2 linked regions of the Tribolium castaneum genome follow. Each later gene encodes a partner of the first gene's protein in a complex. Links are inferred from orthologs where the notes say so. Each region holds a gene or a part of one and is shown on either strand. Other genes may lie near its edges.

What was found.
Region 2: HDAC3 (region 1) and NKAP family protein CG6066 share a complex: the UniProt entries of both Homo sapiens proteins name them as parts of the notch corepressor complex. The link is inferred for Tribolium castaneum from reciprocal best matches to the Homo sapiens genes HDAC3 and NKAP.

The regions. Positions count from the first base shown.
Region 1 is NC_087401.1:11,246,495-11,251,014, forward strand, and holds the start of HDAC3 (histone deacetylase 3), read right to left. Parts: upstream 3,075-4,520; 5' UTR 2,913-3,074; coding exon 2,708-2,912; intron 2,660-2,707; coding exon 1,783-2,659; intron 1-1,782. Other genes in the region: flap endonuclease GEN, read left to right, coding at 3,300-3,457, 3,503-3,782, 3,827-3,980. UniProt on the Homo sapiens protein: Histone deacetylase that catalyzes the deacetylation of lysine residues on the N-terminal part of the core histones (H2A, H2B, H3 and H4), and some other non-histone substrates.
Region 2 is NC_087400.1:4,954,017-4,957,305, reverse strand, and holds NKAP family protein CG6066, read left to right. Parts: upstream 1-1,615; 5' UTR 1,616-1,707; coding exon 1,708-2,607; 3' UTR 2,608-2,660; downstream 2,661-3,289. Other genes in the region: waprin-Rha1, read left to right, coding at 1,097-1,322, 1,370-1,512. UniProt on the Homo sapiens protein: Acts as a transcriptional repressor. Plays a role as a transcriptional corepressor of the Notch-mediated signaling required for T-cell development. Also involved in the TNF and IL-1 induced NF-kappa-B activation.

The sequences.
Region 1 (4,520 bases):
TTACAATTGGCTGTTGTTCCTAGGTTAAATCATTACCTCACAGATTTGTTCTTATTTCGCTTTAAATATTTGTGACCAAGTTTTAACGGGTTAAACAGCTTAATAATTTTAATGCTTTATGGAAAAAGTTAAAGTTGAAATGGCTTGAAAAAATACAGTACCATAAATAAGTCATGTACAACACTCCTAATAAAATTTATCAAAAAATTATGTACCATTTTTTAATAAAAAAAAAATGACCAAAAAATGGGCTTTTTCATTTTATTTTTTAATGACATAGAAGTTTTTTTTTCAAATTCATATACAACGTTGGGCAAAAGTATGGAACCAAGCATTTTATGCTTAAACTATGTACCTTACGAAAAAACTAATTATTAAGTCATCGACTACTTTAAAAATGTGATAATTTTTTAAGAATAAAATTTTTTGAAATTTCTTTTAGTCTACGTGTTATTAATTTTTTTTTCAAATGGCTTCCTCCTATGGCGATTTTTTTGGTAAAAGATTATGTTCTAAAAATAACTTCTACTTTAAAAAAATTAATTTTAAGCCATGTTTTTTTTTTCATAAATTATTATTATTATTTGAACTTAATTTTTTTATAGAAAAATAAACAAATCACGTTTCTAACCGTTTTAAACTCGGGAATGATTCAACGTTAGAACAACACCCAGTTGTAATGAAACTATTTTGTGCAATACTTTTCATAAAAATTCAATTTCAAATTTTGCGTTCAGTTCCACTTCAGACCTCCTTAATATAGTTCAGTGGCGCAGCAAGGGAGATTGTTGGGGGTTGAGAACATAATCATGCAAAATAATTTAAGTTGCAGTAATAAAACAAAACTTTCCAGACAATCATTGTAGACATTCGATTTTTTCTACTTCCGAAAATTCCGAGAAAAGCAACCCACAAAATCCATATTTTCGTTATATTTCAGAAAAATCTTCGGAGAGGTTTTTTGTAAAATAAATGCTACATTTCTGATACCATGGTAGAAATAACTTTTTGAGTAATGACGTTATTTTTTATGAAAACCGACATTTTTAACAGATTACTGTTTTTGATAGTAGGTACACTCCCTTATCTTTCTGGTAATAATAAAAAAATAAAAAAAAATAATATTATCTACACAAAACAAAAAATACCAATATTATTTACCGATTATTTTGCATATATTTTTGAAAATAATTAAAATAGAAACACTTAAACAAAAATATTAAAACAATTACCACCTATAAAATAAGGCAGGAAACAGACAGATAAAGCTTTTTGTGTGAAATTCTTAATAATTTTTGTAGCTACAAAATGTGAGCTATACAACAAATAACCTTGAATTTAAGACAATTTTTTTTACATTATTTTTGCCCCGAACAACATTTCCGAAAAAACATTCAGCAACATATTTATTTTTAGTTAATTTTAAGTGCTACAAGGAACTAAAATAATCATATGCAGGTAAAGAGCTCATTTTTCATTTCTGCGTCGTTATTAGTTTACTAATGAAAAACATATTTTTACGAAGGTAAACCCCCATAAACTCTATCTCTGGCTGCGCCACTGGTATAGTTGTTCAACCTTCAATTGAAGAGTACAGGGGAAAAACAGGAAATAACTACTTTTCAAGAATTTGAACTAATAATGTCATGTAGTTTTTACTATTTTTTTAGCTCAAGTTATAGCCCTCCATAGTCAAAATTAAAACTAATTAACTAAAAAAAGTTGTTTTTCTTTGAATGACGTTCGTCATTTTTCCCTTATACTTATCAATTTAAAAATTACTTAGTAATGGCCTCCAAATACTGGCGACTGTTTGCGTTTTCCTGCCTTGTGACCACCTCAGGATGTAGGGTAAAGTCGGGTGCGAAAAACTCCAAATATTCGGTGTAGGGCAATTCATTTGAAATTTGTTCATCCACAAGTAACGAAGTTTCGTAAGTCCAACACCTCGCGACATTTCTCAGCGTATAACCGCCACCTCCAACCACCAAAGTTGGAACATTCAGACTCTTGACGAACTTAACACACTCCCCGTGCCCTTTGGTACTCAGGGAGAAACACCCCAGGCGGTCGTTGGCCAAGGAATCGGCCCCACATTGTAGTACAATTGCAGTGGGTTGGAAAAATTCCATCACGCTTGAAATGACCGGCTTAAAAACCATCCAATAGCTGGAATCGTCGATTCCTTCCTTCAGCGGCACGTTGACGGAGTAATAACGGCCACTTTCCGCCCCCACTTCGTACATATCGCCCGTGCCCGGGAAGAAATAATTGCCGTATTTGTGGAAACTGACCGTCATGACCCGATCAGTGAGATAGAAGGCTTCCTGGACGCCGTCTCCGTGATGCACGTCGATGTCAATGTATAAAACCCTCGCGTGGTACTTGAGCAATTCTAAAATCCCAATCACAATATCGTTAACGTAGCAGAAACCACTGGCTTCGAATTTCTTGGCGTGGTGGAGCCCCCCTGACCAATTAACAGCAATGTCGCAGTGGTTATTGTTCAGTTTCATGGCCCCCTCGAGCGACGCCCCCGTGTACATGGAGCAGAAGTCAAACAGCCCCCAGAAGACCGGGCAATCGTCCCCCACGTTATAGTGACTCAGATGCTTGGTGAACGCTTGGATGTTCTGCGGCGTGACTTTTTGCAGAAAATCTACAAGTGTGGGGGTTAAGGCAAGTGAAATTACCGTGGTGGCTTTACCGATGTATTCGTCCGAGTGGAAGCGACACATGTCGTGGGCGCTGGCCTTGTAAGGCCGGTAAATCTGCATGTGCTTGTGCAGCCCGTAATTTAACACTAAGCTGTGGATCACAGACAGGCGGTGGGGCTTCATGGGGTGCCCCGTCCCGTAGTGGAAGTTCCCCACGTCAGGGTTGAAGAAGTAAGACACTCGGTGCTTCGACATCACGCCGATAGCTCCTTCCACACGTACAAAAAATACAAAAACAAAACTATAACAACAAGGCGTTTCGTCAGCCAAAACCTATCCTCCGGCATGCTTCCGGATAGCCCCCATTGTGGTTTCTGATAAAACAGCCCCCAAACAAACGTGACGTTTCTGCGCCTCACTACCAACCGAACGACGCAAAAACACCCATTAAGAAATGGTGTTGTCGTAAAGATTATTATCATTAATTACAGAACATATTTCACAAATAAAACTCTGGACGCAATGTTGTTTTTGAGAATAAAGACGAAATTTGCCCATTTGAGTCTGTTTTAAGCGTTTTATCCCCCGATTTTCGTCGAGACTTTGTCACCAACTCCAAAACCAAAATCCCCAAGTTTGAAAATGGGCATCAAAGACCTGTGGACGCTTCTGGCCCCTTTCGGGGAGCGTAAGCCCCTCTACGAGCTGCAGGGCAAGACCGTGGCCATCGACTTGTCGTGCTGGGTGTGCGAGTCGCAAAACGTGACCGAATACACGGTGCAACCCCGCATGTACTTGAGGTTAGGTGACTGACACCGGTTCAAAATTTTGATTTTTTTTTCCAGAAATTTGTATTTCCGCACTTGTTACTTGCTCCTAATGGACGTAAATGTGGTGTTTGTGCTCGAGGGGCGCGCCCCCGAGCTCAAATACAAGACGATCGCCGCCCGCAATGCCCTGCAGTTCAAAGGGGCGAAGCCCAAAAATGGGGCCAAGACCAAGGACAGGTCGAGGTTTAATCACACGTTGAAACGGTGCGAGGAGATGTTGAGTTTGTTGGGGCTTGCGTGTGTGACTGGGGAGGGCGAGGCCGAGGCTTTGTGCGCACAATTGAATGAAACTGGGGTAAAAACATATTTTTTTTTCTAAGGTTCAAGGGGTTGTTTTAGCTCGTCGATGGGATTATTAGTCAGGATTCGGATTGTTTCGCGTATGGGGCACGTGTCGTTTATCGCAATTTTTCCATCTCGCAGCAGGGCAATCAGGCGGCCAAAGGGGGCTCTGTGGACGTTTATGACATCAGTGTGGCCAATGAGCGACTGAGTGAGTCCCCGAATTGCGAATGATTGTTTGATTTTTTTATTTTATTATTATTTTTTTCTGATCAATCCATCAATTTATTATCCAAATATACAATACAGGAATTATTTCGACAATTTTTAAAATATCTGGGAACCTACCAGAAAGATTACTTTAATTACACTTACAATTTTTTTGGTACATCAGAAAAATATTTATCAAAATAATTGGCTAATTTTTCACTGTTGCTAATTTATAAATTACCCACTTTAATAGGGATATTCTCAAAAAATCTGCTACAGCCTATAACTCTTTACATTTCATAGCTAAGAGAGCTAAGAAATAAATTTCTTAAAGATCGTCGAAAGTATGGATGAACAATTTATTTTGTATAAACTTTCGTAGTAAGTAATTAGTAGAAAATTAACAACTGGAAAAACAACACTAGGGCAATAGGACAATTTGAGGAGGAAAAAAAATTGCCTCCTCAAGAAGAGGGAAAAAGTAATGGGTTTCTGTAAGGTTTACATTTAGCTCCGTTAGAGTAAATTTCAGAAAAATTCC
Region 2 (3,289 bases), on another chromosome or scaffold:
GTTAGGTCTAGTTTCTGGTAAAATAATAACGGAGGTTTAACTGAGGTTTAATAGTACGAGAAACGGGGCTTTAAACGCACAATTATAGTAACTGTTGTCTTTGATTTTTGATTAGCTGTTTGCAATACTAGTTTCCTTCCAAAAGTTCGAGGTTGAGTTGCTTTCTGAGTCAAGGAACGATTAAAGTGGATCAAAGAATAAAAAACAATTTTAAGAAATGGCGTTAAAAAGAAAAAGAAAAAAATATGCATTTAAATTTTTTTTATCTAAATAATATAGTAATAAAAACAATTTTTTTCGGTCGTTTTATAATTTATAATCATACCTTGCATTTTTTATACAGCGTTGGCGGAAGTATAGAACCAAGCGTTTTCAAAAATTGTTTTTTTCGAAATTTTTGTTTGTTATTGATTACGTGTATAATACACGTATTAATAAATTTTTTGAAAAATTCAAATAAGAAAAAATTTACCAATCGACCATTTTATTATATTGAGTAAGATAAAAAAATAACTAAATCAAATATAAATATAAATATAAATAAATATAAGAGATTTTTTAAATGTTTCTTTTTAAATAAAAATTGACCTGTCTCAAAAATTTTATTTTTTTTGTTTTTTTTTACTAAGATATTTAAGGTGGCTTGTTTTTAAACTAAATGTGAATTTTGTTGTTATACTTTTGGTTCAATCTGTTTACAGTCTTAAACGTGAAACTGTATAACGATTGAAATAGTGTGACTTCTCTGATAAAACTTTACTCACAGCAGACGCTTTTCTGACTGAAAACGCGATGAAACGCTCAAAAAACTAAAATTTTTGACCTAATTTTGTTTAGCAGCAGGAATTGAAGAAAAAAACAGTAGTAAATTAATACAAGTATAATAAAAATGGGTAATTTTTAATACATTTTTTCTATTTTTGTAGATTTCAACCAATTACTAAATTGCGCAAACCGCAGTGGAACCCCACATCCGCCCTAAATCCGCACACTTAATCAAAATTTCAATTTGTCGTTTTGTGGTTTCCGTTTCTTCGACTCTTGCACCTACACAACATCCAATTCCATTCATCTTAAAGCCCTACAAGTGTTAACAATGCAGGCAAAACTTTTCTTAATCCTTTCCCTTCTAACTGTTTTTGTGTACGGCCAAAGGCCTCGAACAAAATCGGGAGACTGCCCCCCGTACCCCAACGTGGGGATCTGTGAAGTGGCCTGTTTCGAAGACAACCACTGTGCCGGCCATTTCAAATGCTGCCGGACGGCTTGTGGCGGCACTTTTTGTACGGCCCCTGTAACAACGAGGCGAATTCAAAGAGGAGGTGAAATGGATACAATTTTTTTTAAAGAAAATTAATTTGTGTTTTAGAGAAACAAGGGTCTTGTCCAGTTGCACCGTCAGGCCCTTGGGTGTGCTCCAGCAGGTGTGCCCTAGACTCGGACTGCAGGGGGGCTAAAAAGTGCTGCAGGAATCGGTGCGGGGCCATGGCTTGCACCAAACCCGAATTTTAATCAGTTACAATTGTAGTATCGTTGTATGAATAAAAATTAGCAAATCGACGCATTTTGTGTTTTATTTATTTCCTTAAAATTTGAAATGGTTTGAGCAAATGTCAATTCTAGCTTATGGGAATGACGTAAAGTGACTTCAGTTTGACAGTTTTTTTTAAAGGTTATGTTATTGTAAAAAAATTGATTTTTTACGAAATGATGGATGTGGCAAAACACAGACGCAGTCGGTCCCGTTCCCCGGACCACCGGAGACACAAAACTGATAGATCGTTTAAAAATGATCGTAATAGGAGACACAGGTCCAGGTCTCATTCCAGGTCAAGAGACCGCCATTCCAGCAGACGCAGGTCTAGATCCAGAGGCACCACAACAAACGGTTTTGAACGAAACGACAAATATGAAGTCACAAAGAAAAAACACCTTGAGGACGAGTTCATGGAGTCCCGACGCCAGGAGCGTGAGATCCTCGGAATGAGGGATTACCCCAGCATTTGGGGCCAATCCCCCGAACCCGAAGACTCCGACAGTGACGTCGAAGACGTCACCAAGAACGCCCCCAAGCTAAAAAAACGGAAGAAGGAAAAGAAAAAATCCCACAAGAAGCATAAAAAGAAGAAGAAAAAGAAGAAGTCTTCAAGTGAGAGCAGTTCAGGGGAGGAAGAGTGGGTCGAGAAGACCACAACCACCAACAAACCCCAAACCAATGCGGAAGAGACCGAAGAGGTGATCGTCGGCCCCATTTTGAAGCCCCATGCCGCCCTGACTCACAAGGAAATGGGCAAGGCTTTGCTCCCTGGTGAGGGGGCTGCCATGGCTGCGTACGTCGCCGAAGGAAAACGGATACCAAGAAGAGGTGAAATTGGACTCACGTCTGAAGAAATTGAAAGTTTTGAAGCCGTGGGTTATGTCATGTCCGGCTCAAGACACAGGAGAATGGAGGCTGTGAGGATACGGAAAGAAAACCAGATTTATTCAGCTGATGAGAAGCGGGCTTTGGCCATGTTCAGCAAAGAAGAACGGCAGAAGAGGGAGAACAGGATTTTGGGACAGTTCAGGGAAATGGTCAACTCCAAACTGGCCGAAAAGAAAAATTAATTTCGTAGAATTGAGTGTTTATTACGTATAAATAAAGTTTTTTTATTACTTAATTTGTTTTACATTGTTGTACCCAACCGGTCCATCCCCCAGGGAAATGTTTGGCGCTGAAAATTGAACTTAAATTTCGGGTCAAAGTGGCCTATGATTTCGAATTAAGTTGGCAACATCTAGTTGCCAACTAAATTTAAAAATCACAGGCGACTTTAATTAAAGACGGAACAAAACGAATGTTTTACTTTACGTATCCCAGATTTTTGGCTAAATCTAGCGCAGCTCGGCTCCGCCGCCCCGACTGACAACTGAAAACTAAAGGCGTGGTGTTTGTAGGCTTTTCTCTTCGGAAAACTTGACGAAATTGTTCATCACTTGTGTTCTGCAGCGTTTCTTCTAAAGTGGCCACTTGAAATGAAGTACTTTGCAGTTAATTCATAAGTTAATTAGGGTATTTACAAGGTATATTGATGCTTCCAGGAATTGTTCCAGTTTGCGCTAATTCCGACGGGTTCCTCACATCAATTAGAAGAACCTGTCTGTTGTCTTTTAGGCTTCTAACGTAGTCAAAAGTTACTTCGTCTGACATTCTGTGGCTTATATTTAACGTTTGTGAGAATTGGGATAGAGGGCGCTCGAGTGACTGGCAATTTTTTATCGGATTGAAATGAATTCTATGCACAAGTGA